Saccharomyces cerevisiae S288C: one gene and its partners. Changing the gene in region 1 together with any one later gene gives a genetic interaction. Each region holds a gene or a part of one and is shown in the gene's direction. Other genes may lie near its edges.

The links. Genes that interact genetically often act in the same process or in processes that back each other up.
Region 2: mutations in PIK1 (region 1) and GGA2 impair growth when combined (synthetic growth defect), as found in Saccharomyces cerevisiae (3 studies listed by BioGRID, with this or other methods).
Region 3: of PIK1 (region 1) and STT4, changing one enhances a phenotype caused by changing the other (phenotypic enhancement), as found in Saccharomyces cerevisiae (3 studies listed by BioGRID, with this or other methods).

The regions. Positions count from the first base shown.
Region 1 is NC_001146.8:139,274-144,627, forward strand, and holds PIK1 (1-phosphatidylinositol 4-kinase), read left to right. Parts: upstream 1-1,604; coding exon 1,605-4,805; downstream 4,806-5,354. Other genes in the region: LYP1 (lysine permease), read left to right, coding at 1-1,112; IST1 (Ist1p), read right to left, coding at 5,007-5,354. UniProt on the Saccharomyces cerevisiae protein: Acts on phosphatidylinositol (PI) in the first committed step in the production of the second messenger inositol 1,4,5,-trisphosphate. PIK1 is part of a nuclear phosphoinositide cycle and could control cytokinesis through the actin cytoskeleton.
Region 2 is NC_001140.6:326,560-330,589, forward strand, and holds GGA2 (phosphatidylinositol 4-phosphate-binding protein), read left to right. Parts: upstream 1-1,743; coding exon 1,744-3,501; downstream 3,502-4,030. Other genes in the region: thioredoxin-disulfide reductase TRR2, read left to right, coding at 1-67; septin CDC12, read right to left, coding at 254-1,477; CTM1 (cytochrome c lysine N-methyltransferase), read left to right, coding at 3,751-4,030. UniProt on the Saccharomyces cerevisiae protein: May play a role in the regulation of membrane traffic through the trans-Golgi network.
Region 3 is NC_001144.5:737,835-745,765, reverse strand, and holds STT4 (1-phosphatidylinositol 4-kinase STT4), read left to right. Parts: upstream 1-1,902; coding exon 1,903-7,605; downstream 7,606-7,931. Other genes in the region: chitin deacetylase CDA1, read right to left, coding at 1-146; NEDD8-conjugating protein UBC12, read right to left, coding at 915-1,478, 1,613-1,615. UniProt on the Saccharomyces cerevisiae protein: Acts on phosphatidylinositol (PI) in the first committed step in the production of the second messenger inositol 1,4,5,-trisphosphate. STT4 functions in PKC1 protein kinase pathway.

The DNA.
Region 1 (5,354 bases):
TCAAAGTTTATGGTGAATTTGAGTTCTGGGTGGCCTCTGTTAAAGTTTTAGCCATTATGGGTTACTTGATATATGCTTTGATTATTGTCTGCGGTGGATCCCACCAGGGCCCTATCGGTTTCAGGTACTGGAGAAATCCAGGAGCCTGGGGGCCAGGCATCATCTCCAGTGATAAAAGTGAAGGCCGTTTTCTCGGATGGGTCTCCTCCTTGATTAATGCTGCATTTACGTACCAAGGTACTGAACTGGTTGGGATCACCGCTGGTGAAGCGGCTAACCCAAGAAAGACCGTTCCAAGAGCTATCAATAAAGTCGTCTTTAGAATCGTACTATTCTATATTATGTCTTTGTTCTTTATTGGTCTACTGGTTCCATACAACGATTCCCGTTTATCTGCTAGTTCTGCTGTTATTGCATCATCACCCTTCGTTATTTCCATTCAAAACGCTGGTACTTATGCTCTTCCAGATATTTTCAACGCCGTGGTGTTGATTACTGTTGTATCTGCCGCTAATTCGAATGTTTACGTTGGTTCCCGTGTTCTTTACTCTTTAGCTAGGACTGGTAACGCACCAAAGCAATTTGGATACGTCACCAGACAGGGTGTTCCATATCTCGGTGTTGTTTGCACTGCTGCATTGGGTCTTTTGGCATTCCTGGTTGTCAATAACAATGCAAACACTGCATTTAACTGGTTGATCAACATTTCCACTTTGGCTGGGTTATGCGCCTGGTTATTCATCTCTTTGGCACATATTAGGTTCATGCAAGCTTTAAAGCACCGTGGTATTTCTCGTGATGATCTGCCCTTCAAGGCCAAATTGATGCCTTATGGTGCCTACTACGCAGCCTTTTTTGTCACCGTCATCATATTCATCCAAGGGTTCCAAGCGTTCTGTCCGTTCAAAGTTTCTGAGTTTTTCACATCTTACATCTCCTTGATTCTTTTAGCCGTTGTGTTCATTGGTTGCCAGATATACTACAAATGCAGATTTATTTGGAAGCTAGAAGATATTGACATCGATTCCGACAGAAGAGAAATCGAAGCAATTATTTGGGAAGACGACGAGCCTAAGAATTTATGGGAGAAATTCTGGGCTGCTGTTGCATAGTCACAGAACCTCTTGCATGCCTTCAAAATAGAAAAAAATAAAAAAATAGACGTTTCATTAATCAAAATAGCCTGTAGAGATTTTGAGGGATTGCCCCAAACTTTATGTATAATATCACCACTTATTATTCACTATTCATAGTATGTTACATCATAAGGCCATTGTCACCTTCGGCCAGCGATAGTACTCAAATCTATAATAAATTTTCCATATTATCCTTTACGTACTTGATAGCGTGTATAACAGGGTCATTATTCACGATATGTTCAACTGTTGTCATTTTCGTGTTATTGCACTGAAACAAAAGAACCCTACCAAAAAATTCGTTAGAGAAAAACTAAAAGTACAAGATCTTATACTGAAGACCCTTCATTTTTTAGGCCCAACTTCTATATTAAGAAGATCCCTGGACCCTGCTAGAAATTTTCAATTAGCTTATCATTTTTCTTCATTGCGAGCGTTCGTTTTCATTAAGCATTCGTTCTCTTCACTATGCATAAAGCATCCAGTTCAAAGAAAAGCTTTGATGATACTATTGAACTAAAAAAAAATGAACAATTACTGAAACTGATCAACTCTAGTGAATTCACCCTTCACAATTGTGTGGAGTTACTGTGCAAACACTCCGAAAATATTGGTATACATTACTATTTATGTCAGAAATTGGCCACATTTCCTCACAGCGAACTACAGTTCTATATTCCCCAACTAGTACAGGTCCTCGTCACCATGGAGACAGAATCAATGGCTTTAGAAGATTTACTATTAAGGTTGAGGGCGGAAAACCCTCATTTTGCACTACTGACGTTTTGGCAGTTACAAGCGTTACTAACGGATTTATCTACTGACCCCGCTTCTTATGGCTTCCAAGTGGCTAGAAGAGTCTTAAACAACTTACAAACCAATCTCTTTAACACAAGTTCAGGTAGCGATAAAAATGTTAAAATACATGAAAACGTTGCACCGGCCTTAGTTCTTTCCTCTATGATAATGTCGGCTATAGCATTCCCCCAATTAAGCGAAGTGACCAAACCATTAGTGGAATCTCAAGGTAGAAGACAAAAAGCTTTCGTTTTTAAGTTGGCTAGAAGTGCAATGAAAGATTTTACCAAGAACATGACCTTGAAAAATACCCTACTAAACAAGAAAACTTCCAGATCCAAAAGAGTTAGCTCAAATCGCAGTTCAACTCCGACTTCTCCAATAGATTTAATAGATCCAATAAAAACTAAAGAAGATGCATCCTTCAGGAAATCCAGACATAGTGAGGTAAAATTGGATTTCGACATTGTGGATGATATAGGTAACCAGGTCTTTGAAGAAAGAATCTCATCTTCAATCAAACTCCCAAAACGTAAACCTAAGTATTTGGATAATTCATACGTTCATAGGACATATGATGGCAAAAATATAAACAGGGACGGAAGCATTTCAAATACCGCAAAGGCTCTCGATGGAAATAAAGGTGATTATATTTCTCCAAAGGGACGTAATGATGAAAATAATGAGATTGGTAACAATGAAGATGAAACTGGTGGTGAAACGGAGGAGGACGCGGACGCTTTAAACTCTGATCACTTCACCAGTTCTATGCCAGATCTGCATAATATTCAACCAAGGACTTCTTCTGCTTCATCTGCTTCTTTAGAAGGGACACCTAAGTTAAACAGGACCAATTCCCAACCCCTTTCGCGCCAGGCATTCAAAAACAGTAAAAAAGCGAATTCTTCTTTGAGTCAAGAAATTGACTTGTCGCAATTATCGACCACTTCAAAAATAAAAATGTTAAAAGCAAATTATTTTCGTTGCGAGACACAATTTGCCATTGCGCTAGAAACAATATCTCAAAGGCTAGCTCGAGTACCGACAGAAGCTAGATTGAGTGCCTTACGAGCCGAGTTGTTTCTATTAAACAGGGACCTACCAGCGGAAGTAGATATCCCCACTTTATTGCCTCCAAATAAAAAAGGAAAGTTACATAAATTAGTGACCATTACTGCTAATGAGGCACAAGTTTTGAACTCTGCAGAAAAAGTTCCATATTTACTCCTGATAGAATACTTGAGAGACGAATTTGATTTTGACCCAACAAGTGAAACCAATGAAAGATTATTAAAGAAGATCAGTGGTAATCAGGGAGGCTTGATATTTGATTTAAATTACATGAATAGAAAAGAAAACAACGAAAATAGAAATGAAAGTACTCTTACTAGCAACAACACTCGATCTTCGGTATATGATAGTAACTCGTTCAACAACGGGGCCTCCCGCAATGAAGGTCTATCCAGTACCTCAAGAAGTGATTCAGCGTCCACAGCTCATGTTAGGACTGAAGTCAATAAAGAGGAAGATTTAGGTGATATGTCAATGGTAAAAGTCAGGAACAGAACGGATGACGAAGCGTATAGAAATGCTTTAGTAATACAGAGTGCCGCAAATGTTCCAATTTTACCTGATGATAGTCAAGACAGAAGCCCAGAGTTGAACTTTGGCTCAAACTTGGACGAAGTACTCATCGAGAATGGAATTAATAGCAAAAATATACATAGCCAAACTGACGCTTTAGCAGACCAGATGAGAGTTTCAGCTGTTATGTTAGCACAATTGGATAAGTCGCCACAACAGTTATCAGAAAGTACCAAACAAATCCGCGCTCAAATTATTTCATCAATGAAGGAGGTGCAGGATAAATTTGGTTACCATGATTTGGAAGCCCTTCATGGAATGGCAGGTGAGAGAAAATTGGAAAACGATTTAATGACGGGTGGTATTGACACTTCATATCTAGGTGAAGATTGGGCTACCAAGAAAGAGAGGATACGTAAAACTTCGGAATATGGCCATTTCGAAAACTGGGATTTATGTTCTGTAATCGCCAAGACGGGTGATGATTTGAGACAGGAGGCGTTTGCATACCAGATGATTCAAGCGATGGCCAATATTTGGGTTAAAGAAAAAGTTGACGTTTGGGTTAAAAGAATGAAAATTTTAATTACTAGTGCGAATACGGGACTTGTGGAGACCATCACAAATGCTATGTCTGTGCATAGTATTAAAAAGGCTTTAACCAAAAAAATGATTGAAGATGCAGAACTAGATGACAAGGGTGGTATTGCCTCTTTGAATGATCACTTCCTTAGAGCTTTTGGTAATCCTAATGGATTTAAGTATAGAAGAGCACAAGACAACTTTGCTTCTTCGTTAGCCGCATATTCTGTCATTTGCTATCTCTTGCAGGTTAAAGATAGACACAACGGTAACATTATGATCGATAACGAAGGCCATGTAAGTCACATCGATTTTGGATTTATGCTATCAAATTCACCCGGCTCAGTGGGCTTTGAGGCCGCACCATTCAAATTAACTTACGAATATATTGAACTGCTAGGCGGAGTAGAGGGAGAAGCGTTTAAAAAGTTTGTTGAACTAACTAAAAGTTCGTTCAAGGCTCTGAGAAAGTATGCTGATCAAATCGTATCAATGTGTGAGATTATGCAAAAGGACAATATGCAGCCTTGTTTCGATGCTGGCGAACAAACAAGTGTACAACTACGACAAAGGTTCCAATTGGACTTATCAGAAAAAGAAGTTGATGACTTCGTAGAAAATTTCTTGATAGGTAAATCTTTGGGTAGTATTTACACCAGAATATACGACCAATTTCAACTTATTACACAGGGTATATATAGCTGAGAAGGAAAATAGCTGTGACAGAACTGGAAAAACAATTTGCAAATGTCCGGAGAACAAAAAAATTGGAATTTTAGTAAAAGGAATATACATATATTTATTTATTGCCGAGAATAATAGAGCAGCTGACTCAGAAAAAGCAAGGTAAAAGAATGAGAGTAAAATAAATATGTGGTTAATTAACCATACATATAAATTATTATCTTATTTTCTGCGTAAAGCGTCAAACCGTTTCTTCAACTCATCTAGTTCATCATTTTCTTGCTCCTTCTTAGTCTTTCTTTTTGTAGTTTTCTTTTCTGATTGTTTCTTTTCGATCACTTCCTTTTTGATATCTTTCGGAATCTTGAGCTCGTTCTTGATATTTTCACTATTCTGCCTAGGCTTTTTAACAGTGATAGGGTGTTTAGCATCTGCATTGTCATTATCGTCATTATCTAAGGCTAAAATAGGCTTTTCTTCGTCATTATCCTCGATATCTCCCGAGGGGTCACTAAAGTCTGAAGAAATGTTAGAAGACGACGAAGATAAGGAATTCTCCAGCTTACTATA
Region 2 (4,030 bases), on another chromosome or scaffold:
TACTTCTGCTGGTTCCGGATGCATTGCTGCTTTGGATGCAGAACGGTACCTAAGTGCCCAAGAGTAACGTGAAAAAACCGGTTTATTTTTGTTTTTACTGTTCGATTGTGTTACGTATTCTATGTTTTTTGAGATATATTTGAAATATTTTTATAAGATACATATATATATGTGCGTATTGCTGCGACAAAAGAAGAGACAAAGAGATAGGCGTTGAAATTGACGAGACAAAGAGGAAGACATTAATTAATCATCATTTTAAATGGGATTTTTTTACTTGCAAGCTTTTGACCTGCTCTTCTAGTTTTTTTACCTTTCCTTGAATTTCTTCCAAGTCACCGTTCAGTCTGATTCTTTCGTTAACAATGTTTTGCTCCCATTGTCTAAATCTTTGCTCCTCAGCTTTGACTTGGTCAGTGAAATACTTCTTCAATGCATTTTCTTCTTCTTTGTATCTAGGATTGTGTGACAATTTCCTTGCTGGTGCAATTGCTGGAAGAGTGAAATCTTCATTCCCCTCCCCGGTGTTCTCGTGACCCTCAAGTCTTAATCTTCTGTATGTTTCGTAATGCATTTCTTGGGTGGTAGAAATCAAATCTAATAGATAAGTCCTCAGTAACAGGGCTCTGAGCTTACGGAAATCACAATGAGAATCGTTTTCGATTTCCACAAGTCCCCAAGGATACTTCCTTGCAACTACCTGAGTGCCTTGCCCATTGTCAAATTTTTTTTCAGACCCTACTATGGCAAATGGCATTGCTTCTATCAACTGTCTTGCATGTTCAACAGCGGCAGAATCTGGATTACTGCCACTTTTGGCATCTTCCTTAGAATCAGCGTCTAATGGAGGCGTGAAAATACGAATTTCTTGAGCTTCTATTACTTGCCTGATTCTGGACTTGAACTGTTGTAATTCTTGGGCAGTCAATGTATCAGCTTTCGCAATAACTGGAATCAGATTGGCTCTGGTTGACAATCTCTTCATAGTCTCAATGTCAATTGGCTTTAAACCATGTCCAGTGGGCCTGATGAAGTACAGAACGGCATGAACTCTCAAGTCAAATTTCTTAGTACGGTACGGTTGCTGCTCTTGACGCATATAAGAATCGTGTTGATCATCAATAAAATCCACCAATGGTTGCCAGGCTTTGTTGTTATTCACGTTATCTCCAAAACCTGGGGTGTCGATGACATTAACGCGTAATTCGAAATGCTTCTCTTCCAGCAAAGCTCTTGTGATGTCGATTTCTACAGTCTTTCTGATGGGTTCTTGGCGGTGTTGCTGACCATCTGCCCTTTTCAAGACAGTCTGAAATAAGGTATTAATAAATGTAGTTTTACCCAATCCGCTCTCACCACATAACATCACGGTGAATGTACCACCTTCTTCATTAACAATTTTATAACGCTGGTTGGGAAGATTGGATATCCCTACAGGAGGAGGAACAGGGGCAGCAGTCGCAGTGGCAGCACTCATTATTTGATACAATATGTGATGTAGTTCGTTATCAATACTCTTCAGGTCAAGATCCTATATCTTGCTGCACCTTTCAAGACTTTGATCTACTCAAAACAAACAATGGTGATTTCGAAAAAAATTTCGGATTCTTCACTTTTCCAGCGCCCTGTTTTTTTTCTGTAATCACGATTGCAAAAAAAAGAGACTTACCATAGGACAATTTCCATAAACAAAACAAAGAGCAACATAACTCATAGCTGAATTGCTAATCGTGATACTGCATCATGTCCCATCCGCACTCACATAGCATATATTTGTCTGAGTTGCCCGTCAGGAAACCTCAAGCCTTGGGCAATCCTCTTTTGAGGAAGATTCAAAGAGCTTGCAGAATGTCACTTGCTGAACCAGACTTGGCGTTGAATCTTGACATTGCTGACTACATTAATGAAAAACAGGGCGCTGCCCCTAGGGATGCTGCCATTGCACTTGCTAAACTGATCAACAATAGAGAATCGCACGTGGCAATATTCGCGTTATCTCTATTAGACGTGCTTGTCAAGAATTGTGGATACCCATTCCACTTGCAAATTTCTAGAAAGGAATTTTTGAATGAACTGGTCAAGAGATTTCCAGGTCACCCACCATTACGTTATTCTAAGATTCAGAGATTGATTTTAACTGCTATTGAAGAATGGTATCAAACAATTTGTAAACACTCAAGCTACAAGAATGATATGGGTTATATTAGAGACATGCACCGTTTGTTGAAATATAAGGGTTATGCATTCCCCAAAATCAGTGAATCCGACCTAGCAGTTTTGAAGCCTAGTAATCAATTGAAGACCGCTAGTGAAATTCAAAAGGAGCAGGAAATTGCTCAAGCTGCAAAACTCGAAGAATTGATCAGGCGTGGTAAACCTGAAGATTTGAGGGAAGCTAACAAATTAATGAAAATCATGGCAGGGTTCAAAGAAGACAATGCCGTTCAAGCTAAACAGGCTATTTCCAGTGAATTGAACAAATTGAAGCGTAAAGCCGATTTGCTGAATGAAATGCTGGAATCACCTGACTCACAAAACTGGGATAACGAAACTACACAAGAACTTCACAGTGCATTAAAGGTAGCTCAACCAAAATTTCAAAAGATCATTGAGGAAGAACAGGAAGACGATGCGTTAGTGCAGGATCTATTGAAGTTTAATGATACAGTTAATCAACTATTGGAAAAATTCAACTTATTGAAAAACGGTGACTCCAACGCTGCTTCGCAGATACATCCAAGTCATGTTTCTGCTCCGTTACAACAATCTTCTGGTGCTTTAACGAATGAAATCAACTTAATCGATTTCAATGATTTGGACGAAGCGCCCTCTCAAGGCAACAACAATACCAACGGCACGGGTACACCAGCAGCAGCGGAAACATCTGTCAATGACTTATTGGGCGATTTGACCGATTTATCTATTTCGAACCCTTCAACCGCTAACCAAGCATCCTTTGGTCTGGGAGGCGATATCGTGTTGGGGTCCTCTCAACCCGCACCACCAGTTACTACTACTAACAACTCGAACAACACTTTAGATCTTTTGGGACTTTCAACTCCTCAATCGCCAACTAATTCCCAAGCAGTAAACAGTAGTGGGTTCGATCTTTTGATGGGATTTAATCCAACAACAGGTACTACTACTGCGCCCGCAAGAACCCTAGTCAATCAGTCTCCTAACTTGAAGATTGAGTTCGAAATATCTAGGGAGTCAAACTCAGTTATAAGGATAAAATCGTTCTTTACAAACTTAAGTTCGTCACCGATCTCCAACTTAGTGTTCTTATTAGCAGTCCCTAAGTCAATGTCTTTGAAATTGCAACCCCAATCGAGTAACTTTATGATTGGCAACGCTAAAGATGGTATCTCTCAAGAAGGTACAATTGAAAATGCGCCAGCTAACCCTTCAAAGGCTTTGAAAGTCAAGTGGAAGGTCAACTATTCTGTCAACTCCACCCAAGCTGAAGAAACTGCTGTTTTTACGTTACCTAATGTATAATCCTCTGGCGTTTCTTATCAATCCTTTCTCTTCTCTATGTATATTTTTAGAAGGATAATACCTCTATGTAGACAATCTTATAAAGATCTTCGCAACAATACATATTTCACTTACTAATATATGTTGCGTTTTCATGCATCAAAAGTAGTTAGCAATGCTAGATCGTGTAAAGGAAAAAAAAGAGAAATAGTATAATTCGCCATCCTCATAACCACTGAAAAATCGAAGTTAACCAAAAGGAAAGTTGAAATGGAGGAAGTGTTCCGTTTTTACTCGAACTCTAGAAATATCTTCATTCATAAAAGCCTTTCATTAAAACCATCCACCATTGATGACCCCAAAAGTGGATATGGCCTTTTCGTAGAACCTTCGAAGTTCAAGAATGATGAATTGAAAAGTGAAACTATCCAATTGCTCCGAATCCCTAAGCGCTGCACGTTTAATATAAACACACTTCTGGCTCTCTTGGGAGATGAGGACGAATTTTCTTCAAAGGAAGAATTTCAAAGAACTAATGACAAAATTAAGA
Region 3 (7,931 bases), on another chromosome or scaffold:
GTAAATTCTGTTAACCACTCTGGAAAGGGCGTTTGCATATCTACTTCCCCCATCAATGCGGTACTCCCATTTGACGCAAGGCAATTTCCCTGTTTTAGAAAAAATGCTGCGAACAGCACAGATTGTATTGTATTGAAAATTTTCATCTCTTTTCTTGTGTAAAAGTAAATCTATCACTTAATTTTGTTTCTCTATATTCCACTTTGCTTACTTCTAAGCATCTACTTTGTTAGAACTATTGGTCTTTTTGAAAACACAAAAGTAAATCAACCCACTTGTTGGTATTTTTCTCTTTTAATTGCGATTGAATGACGGCCGGTCCGGAAAATGTGACATCTGGAAAAGAGAAATGTTGAAGCTGCTTCCAAGTGCATGAGACAGAATTTTTTTTACAGAAAATAGAAAGCGTTATCTTGTTAAATATTACTAACTAGTATAGTCATTCATTTTTTTCTTCCATAGTTGTAATATCTTTATTTTTTGTAAGAATTAGCGATAGCTGAGATTGCGTTCTTCAACTTCCTGCTCTCTCTTAGTCTTCTATCCAGGGTATCTCACCTTCCTGATTATCTTGTCAATAGCCATGGCTTCGCTGTTTCTTTATTATAAGAAGTATTTTTTGTTTTCTTCAAGAAATTTTTCGTATTAATATCTTTATGTTTTGTTTGCCTTTACTGGCCAGAAATTTTATACTTATTTTGAATAGAACACATTAAGTTCTACAGGTACCTGCAAAATATCGAGACAAAAGTTTGAACGAGAATATAAGGAATGTTGGTCATAAGGCGTAAACTAACAGAAGATGGCGGTAGCAAGATGTTACCAAGGCGACAACTCGCCTAGTATGTCACAATTATCTATAATTTTATTGTTTATATATAATCAAATCAACCGAAAATTACTCTGAACTTGACTCAAGGAGAAACTATGTTATCATATTTGACATGTTCAATTGAACCTCCAGACATGGTCAATCTCACAGCTTCAGCAAATTCTTTCTCACCCTCACACAGTAACTTTGCTGCATCCTTGTTTAACGGGTCATTGGGATTAGGCTCCAAGAACAAGAAAAGAAGCCCGGTTATAATACTCTGCAAATCTAGAGCTGGCGACCAGTCTTCTCGAAGAATATTTAGGCAAACGTTCCCCTTTAAATCGATATTTGGATGAAAGATCTTCTTCAAACATACAACTTTTGGTGGTTCAATCGGATAAACTTCGTTAAAATCCAAATTGAAATTAATAGATCCATAATTATAATATCCTTCATCAGGCCTAACAATTACCTCCAATTTCGGCGATTGTGATCTATCCGCACTATCTGGTGATGTTATTACATTCAAAGTCACTGTTGGTGGGAGGTCCAGCGAATCAAGGTCCCTTTTCAAACGAATTCTTGCTGCCGATAAATTAGGCTGAATAGAACTGCTGTTTTCATTTTCTTTTTGCTTTTTCTTTTGTAATTGGCGTAATTTCAACTATTTGAATAAAGCCAAGAATATACATATCCAGTACACATATACATTCTCACCCCCCAAAAAGATTATGTTAGTATTTTCGATCGCTAAAAACCGCCAATGAGAAACGGAAAGATATAGTTGCATCTACGTACCATTTTTATTATCTTGTTTTATATTCTCTAACTGATTCTTTAATGTCTCTAAGTACATTTATGAATGATTGGCCTTTTTCATCTCATTTTACCTTTTGGCTGATATCATCAAACGGCACGCGCAGGGATGAAGGTACGTTAATAGTATTTTTTTTTTTCAAGAATACTGCGAAGATGTTTGAGTTGTGGGAAAAAACATATTCAACATTAATAACTATTGTAAATCAAGAAAAAAATTAGATCACAAAAAGATAACTACAGCAATCGAAAACGCCACTCGTTTAAGGCAGATGAGATTTACCAGAGGATTGAAAGCCTCTTCATCTTTAAGAGCGAAAGCTATTGGAAGACTAACTAAACTTTCGACGGGTGCACCAAATGATCAAAACAGTAATGGTACAACATTAGATTTGATAACTCATACATTGCCTATTTTTTATTCCACAAATACGTCAAAGATATATACTATACCACTTACATTGAGTGAATGGGAAGTACTAACTTCGCTTTGTGTTGCAATCCCTACCACGCTCGATCTGGTAGAGACAATGCTTAAAGAAATAATTGCGCCTTATTTTCTGGAAACTCCAAGACAAAGAATTTCAGATGTTCTGTCCTCGAAATTCAAGTTGGAACAGATGAGAAATCCGATTGAATTGCTAACTTTCCAGCTGACTAAGTTTATGATTCAAGCTTGTGAACAGTATCCCGTTCTTTATGAAAATATAGGCGGCATCATTTCAACTTATTTTGAGCGTGTATTAAAGATTTTTACTATTAAACAATCTGGTCTACTATCATTAGTGGGCTTTATTAATGCATTTATCCAGTTTCCCAACTCTACAGAGCTTACTAAATTCACCTGGAAAAAGTTAGCGAAACTTGTGCTTCGTGGATCATTTCTAAACGAAGTTGATAAGATTTTGAATTCCTCAGCAACGTTTACCAATGATTCAATCGTCCAGTATTACGATGCTGGAAATGAGCTATCCAGTGCCTACTTATTGGAATTAATATCTCGCTTGCAAGTTTCGCTAATATCTCATCTGTTAAACACTTCACATGTCGGCGCCAACTTGAGTGAGTTCTTACTAAATCAACAATACCAATTTTACAAATTTGATCAAGAAGTAGCCGATGAAAACGATGATACGAAGTGTATTGATGACTTTTTTTTCAACGTAAGAAGCAATAAACAGTTTTTTACAGACATGTGTAAAATTTCCCTGCAATTTTGTTCTGAGTCACATATTCTCGACCTATCTACAGACAACCGTGCAAGATTTTCTTTTGATACTCGAGCCCACTACCTACAAACGCTATGTTTAATTCCGTTTATAGAAGATACAGAAAGCGAGCTTTTTGAAAGTTTTACAAACGTTGTTTCTGAATCTATTGATAAATTTTTCTTATCTGATGTCGTTACACCATCTTTGATAAAAGCAATTGTAGCTTCTGCCTCATTACTGAATTTTTTCACGGAAAAATTGTCATTAACTCTGATTCGTATGTTTCCTTTATTGGTAGCGTCTCCACATATCACGACTGAAACAGTTAATGATGTTGCAAAAATATTCACCACAGGGTTATACCCTCTAAATGAAGATGCAATTGTGAGTACAATTTATTCCATGAACAACTTATTAGCTGTTTCCGAGGACGGATCGCCCGTCCCGGTGCTCCGTGAGCGCCAATTAACAATAACATCTGGAAAAAATATTGAGAAAGACTACTTTCCCTTGCGAAATTCATCTGCCAGTTTGGATGGCACTGGTGCTCTGCTCGGAAATACAACTGTGGGCCAACTTTCCTCCCATGATGTCAATAGTGGAGCTACTATGACATACCATGCCTCTTTGATATCTAATTGTGTGGCTGCAACGACTACAATCGCCTCATACTATAACACCCAAAGCATAACAGCTTTGACTATCTCTATTCTTACGCAAAAAGTTAATTCTATGTCAAAGGAATTAGACGGTGTTATTTTGAATTCTTTGGCAAGACTGGCTCCGAATACTTCACTGACAGAATTTTCGCTTTTACTAAAGTTCTTCAAATCGAGAACTGTTATTGCAACAAAAATTGATGATAGCGCACTATTGAAAAATATTATTAAAGCGAAATGTGTGATATCAAAAGAATTGTTGGCCAGGCATTTTTCAAGTGACTTATATTTCATGTATCTTCATGATCTATTGGACTCAATCATTGCCAGTGGGGAAGTAGAACGATTGGAACATCACAGACCTCAAACGGAGATTTCCCGTGTTGCTGATCAAATCGCTACCTACTTAGAGCCCCTCGCCGCTCTACTACCTGTTCCAGGCGATACGCCATTGGACATCAATAAGGATGAAGTCACTACAAACAAGTTTAGGAACGCCTGGTTTAATTTTGTCATCCATGGGTACCACTTGGGCGGGCCTATTGTCAAACGAAATTTTTCTTTCTTATTAACTATTGCCTATAATTCACCACCGCTGGCTTCTGAATTTCCTGCTAATAACAAGGAGCTTTCATTGGAAATGAATACAATTTTGCGCCGCGGTTCATCTAACGAAAATATCAAACAACAAAAACAGCAGATAACCGAATATTTCAATACCAATATTGTTCAGTACAGAACAACTTCATCGTCTAAAATCATGTTTTTAGCGGCTGCCGTTCTTCTAGAAACGATAAGATGCGAGGCAGGTGATTGTTCGAAGACTCTACTGTACTTCTCAGACCCCTCCATTCTTTCCGGTTCAATTGAGAAGTGTATTGCAGTTTTGTCGGTTTCCATGATTAGAAAATATGCTAGGTTGATTCAAAAGGGTAACGATGCCATATTCAACTCCAAAATGATTGCTCAACAACTTAATAACTTGCTACTTTGCCTTTCTCATAGGGAACCAACTTTGCAGGATGCCGCTTTTCATGCCTGTGAAATATTTATCAGATCTATTCCATCATCGTTATGTCATCATTTGTCTCTCTACACCTTATTAGATATGTTAACAGCCCTATTTGATAGTATCTTGGACTCAGAGGCGCATAAATTTGAACCACGGTATGAATTTAAATTAAAACATTCTAAGACAACAATATTGGTTCCAAGCTCATCGTCCTGGCGCGCTACGACACTATCAAGATTGCACAAGTCAGCTAAAGAATGGGTAAGAATTCTATTGAATAGAAGCAACCAGGATACTAAGATTTTGTTGCAATCATACATATCAGATCTCGGTGAGTACAGCAGGCTAAATTCTGTTGAATTTGGTGTCTCATTTGCCATGGATATGGCTGGTTTGATTTTACCTGCAGATAAGGAATTATCAAGGCTTACTTATTATGGTCCAGAGAAACCTAACACGATTTCTGGATTTATATCTTTACATTCTTGGAGGTCAAAATATCTTTTCGATACCGCTATTACATCATCACCAGAGGATATCAAAAGGCAAATAGGTATTTCCACTCAAAACATAAGAAAAAATTTGACCTTAGGAAATAAGATTATAACTAAAGACGTAACTGATTTTCTTGATATGGCTACCGCGTTGTTAATTCTTGGCAATGGTGCACCAGCGTCATTGATATATGATATTGTGCACATCCCGTTCGAAGTCTTCACCTCTGCATCTTTAAAGATTGCTACAAACGTATGGTTAACAATCATAACTGAGAAGCCCGAAGTTGCACATTTGCTTTTAGTTGAAGTATGCTATTGCTGGATGCGCTCCATTGATGACAATATTGGTCTCTATTCTCGCGATCATGACTTAAAGGGCGAAGAATACCAAAAAATGGAATATTCCCCTTACGACAAAGCAGGTATCAACAGAGATGCAAAAAATGCATCCCAAGCTATGCAACCACATCTTCATGTTATTAAATTTTTTGCTTCCCATTTCGAGGGCACACTATTTCAAAGTGACTTTTTATTGAAAATTTTCACGAAATGTGCGCTTTATGGTATCAAGAATCTGTATAAGGCTTCACTACACCCGTTCGCTAGAATGATTCGCCACGAATTATTGTTATTCGCGACTCTCGTACTAAACGCAAGTTATAAGCAGGGATCCAAGTATATGGGCCGTTTGTCGCAAGAAATCACAAACGGTGCCCTAAGTTGGTTTAAAAGACCAGTAGCGTGGCCATTCGGCTCAAATGAGCTGAAAATCAAAGCAGATTTATCTGTTACTAGGGACCTTTTCCTTCAGCTCAACAAATTAAGCTCGCTAATGTCACGTCATTGCGGGAAAGATTACAAGATCCTGAACTATTTCTTGGCAAGCGAAATCCAGCAGATTCAAACCTGGCTTACTCCGACTGAGAAGATTGAAGGAGCCGACAGCAACGAGCTTACAAGCGATATCGTTGAAGCTACCTTTGCTAAAGATCCAACATTAGCAATAAATCTCTTACAACGATGTTATAGCAAGAAAGCTGAGGATGTTTTAGTGGGCTTAGTTGCAAAACATGCTTTAATGTGTGTGGGGTCCCCAAGTGCTCTTGACCTGTTCATAAAAGGAAGCCACCTGAGCAGTAAGAAAGACCTACACGCAACCTTATACTGGGCGCCAGTGAGCCCGTTAAAATCTATCAACCTTTTCCTTCCCGAATGGCAAGGTAATTCTTTTATCTTACAATTCAGCATATATTCGTTGGAATCACAAGATGTGAACTTGGCATTCTTCTATGTTCCTCAAATCGTACAATGTTTGAGATACGATAAAACCGGATATGTCGAAAGATTGATTTTGGATACTGCGAAAATTAGTGTGTTATTTTCTCATCAAATAATCTGGAATATGCTTGCAAACTGCTACAAGGATGATGAAGGTATACAAGAAGATGAAATCAAACCAACTCTAGATCGTATTAGGGAGCGTATGGTTTCAAGTTTCAGCCAATCTCATCGCGATTTTTACGAACGTGAATTTGAATTCTTCGACGAAGTAACTGGCATATCTGGTAAGTTGAAACCATACATAAAAAAAAGTAAGGCTGAAAAGAAACATAAGATCGATGAAGAAATGAGCAAAATTGAGGTGAAACCTGATGTTTATTTACCTTCTAATCCTGACGGTGTAGTTATTGATATTGATCGGAAGAGTGGTAAGCCACTTCAATCTCACGCAAAGGCGCCTTTTATGGCGACCTTTAAAATAAAGAAAGACGTAAAAGATCCTTTGACAGGTAAAAACAAGGAAGTTGAAAAATGGCAAGCTGCTATCTTCAAAGTCGGTGATGACTGTAGGCAAGATGTTCTAGCGTTACAATTGATCTCGCTATTTAGAACCATTTGGTCTAGTATTGGCTTGGATGTCTACGTTTTTCCCTACAGAGTTACTGCGACGGCACCGGGTTGTGGTGTCATCGATGTGCTACCCAATTCGGTATCCCGTGATATGTTAGGACGTGAAGCTGTTAATGGATTATATGAATATTTCACTAGTAAATTTGGTAATGAATCTACTATCGAATTTCAAAACGCACGAAACAACTTTGTTAAATCCTTAGCGGGATATAGCGTAATTTCGTATTTGTTGCAATTCAAGGATAGACATAATGGTAACATTATGTACGATGATCAAGGACATTGTCTACATATCGATTTTGGGTTTATTTTTGATATTGTCCCAGGTGGTATCAAGTTTGAAGCAGTACCATTCAAGCTGACGAAAGAAATGGTTAAAGTGATGGGAGGTTCGCCCCAGACCCCAGCGTATCTGGACTTTGAAGAACTTTGTATCAAGGCATATCTAGCCGCCCGTCCGCACGTGGAGGCCATAATTGAGTGTGTAAATCCTATGTTAGGAAGCGGTCTCCCCTGCTTTAAGGGTCACAAGACAATTAGGAATCTAAGAGCAAGATTTCAACCTCAAAAAACCGATCACGAAGCTGCACTATATATGAAGGCGCTAATCCGTAAAAGTTATGAAAGTATATTCACTAAAGGTTATGATGAATTCCAAAGGCTCACAAATGGCATTCCGTACTGATATACTTCGCACTTTACATATGCTTATATAAAAATACCAGTTTCCCATCGTCAATTACGCAGACGTAGCCTTCGTTTATTTTCTCTCTTTTTGTATATCATTGTATTAATCATAATCCATTGTATTTTACTTTGTCTTATCTGGCTTTAATGAATGACGCCGGTCACACGCGGGTGCCTGATTCTCGATTGTGCCAAGCCATTTGGGCACGGTGTCAAATTACCTAAAAAATGGCCGAGAGCCGCAAAAGGGAGGTCCGCGGGGCCGGGCAATACCCTTTGTTTTTCGAGCATTTCGGCGCCGAAATCGGCAAAGGTCCTGACCAA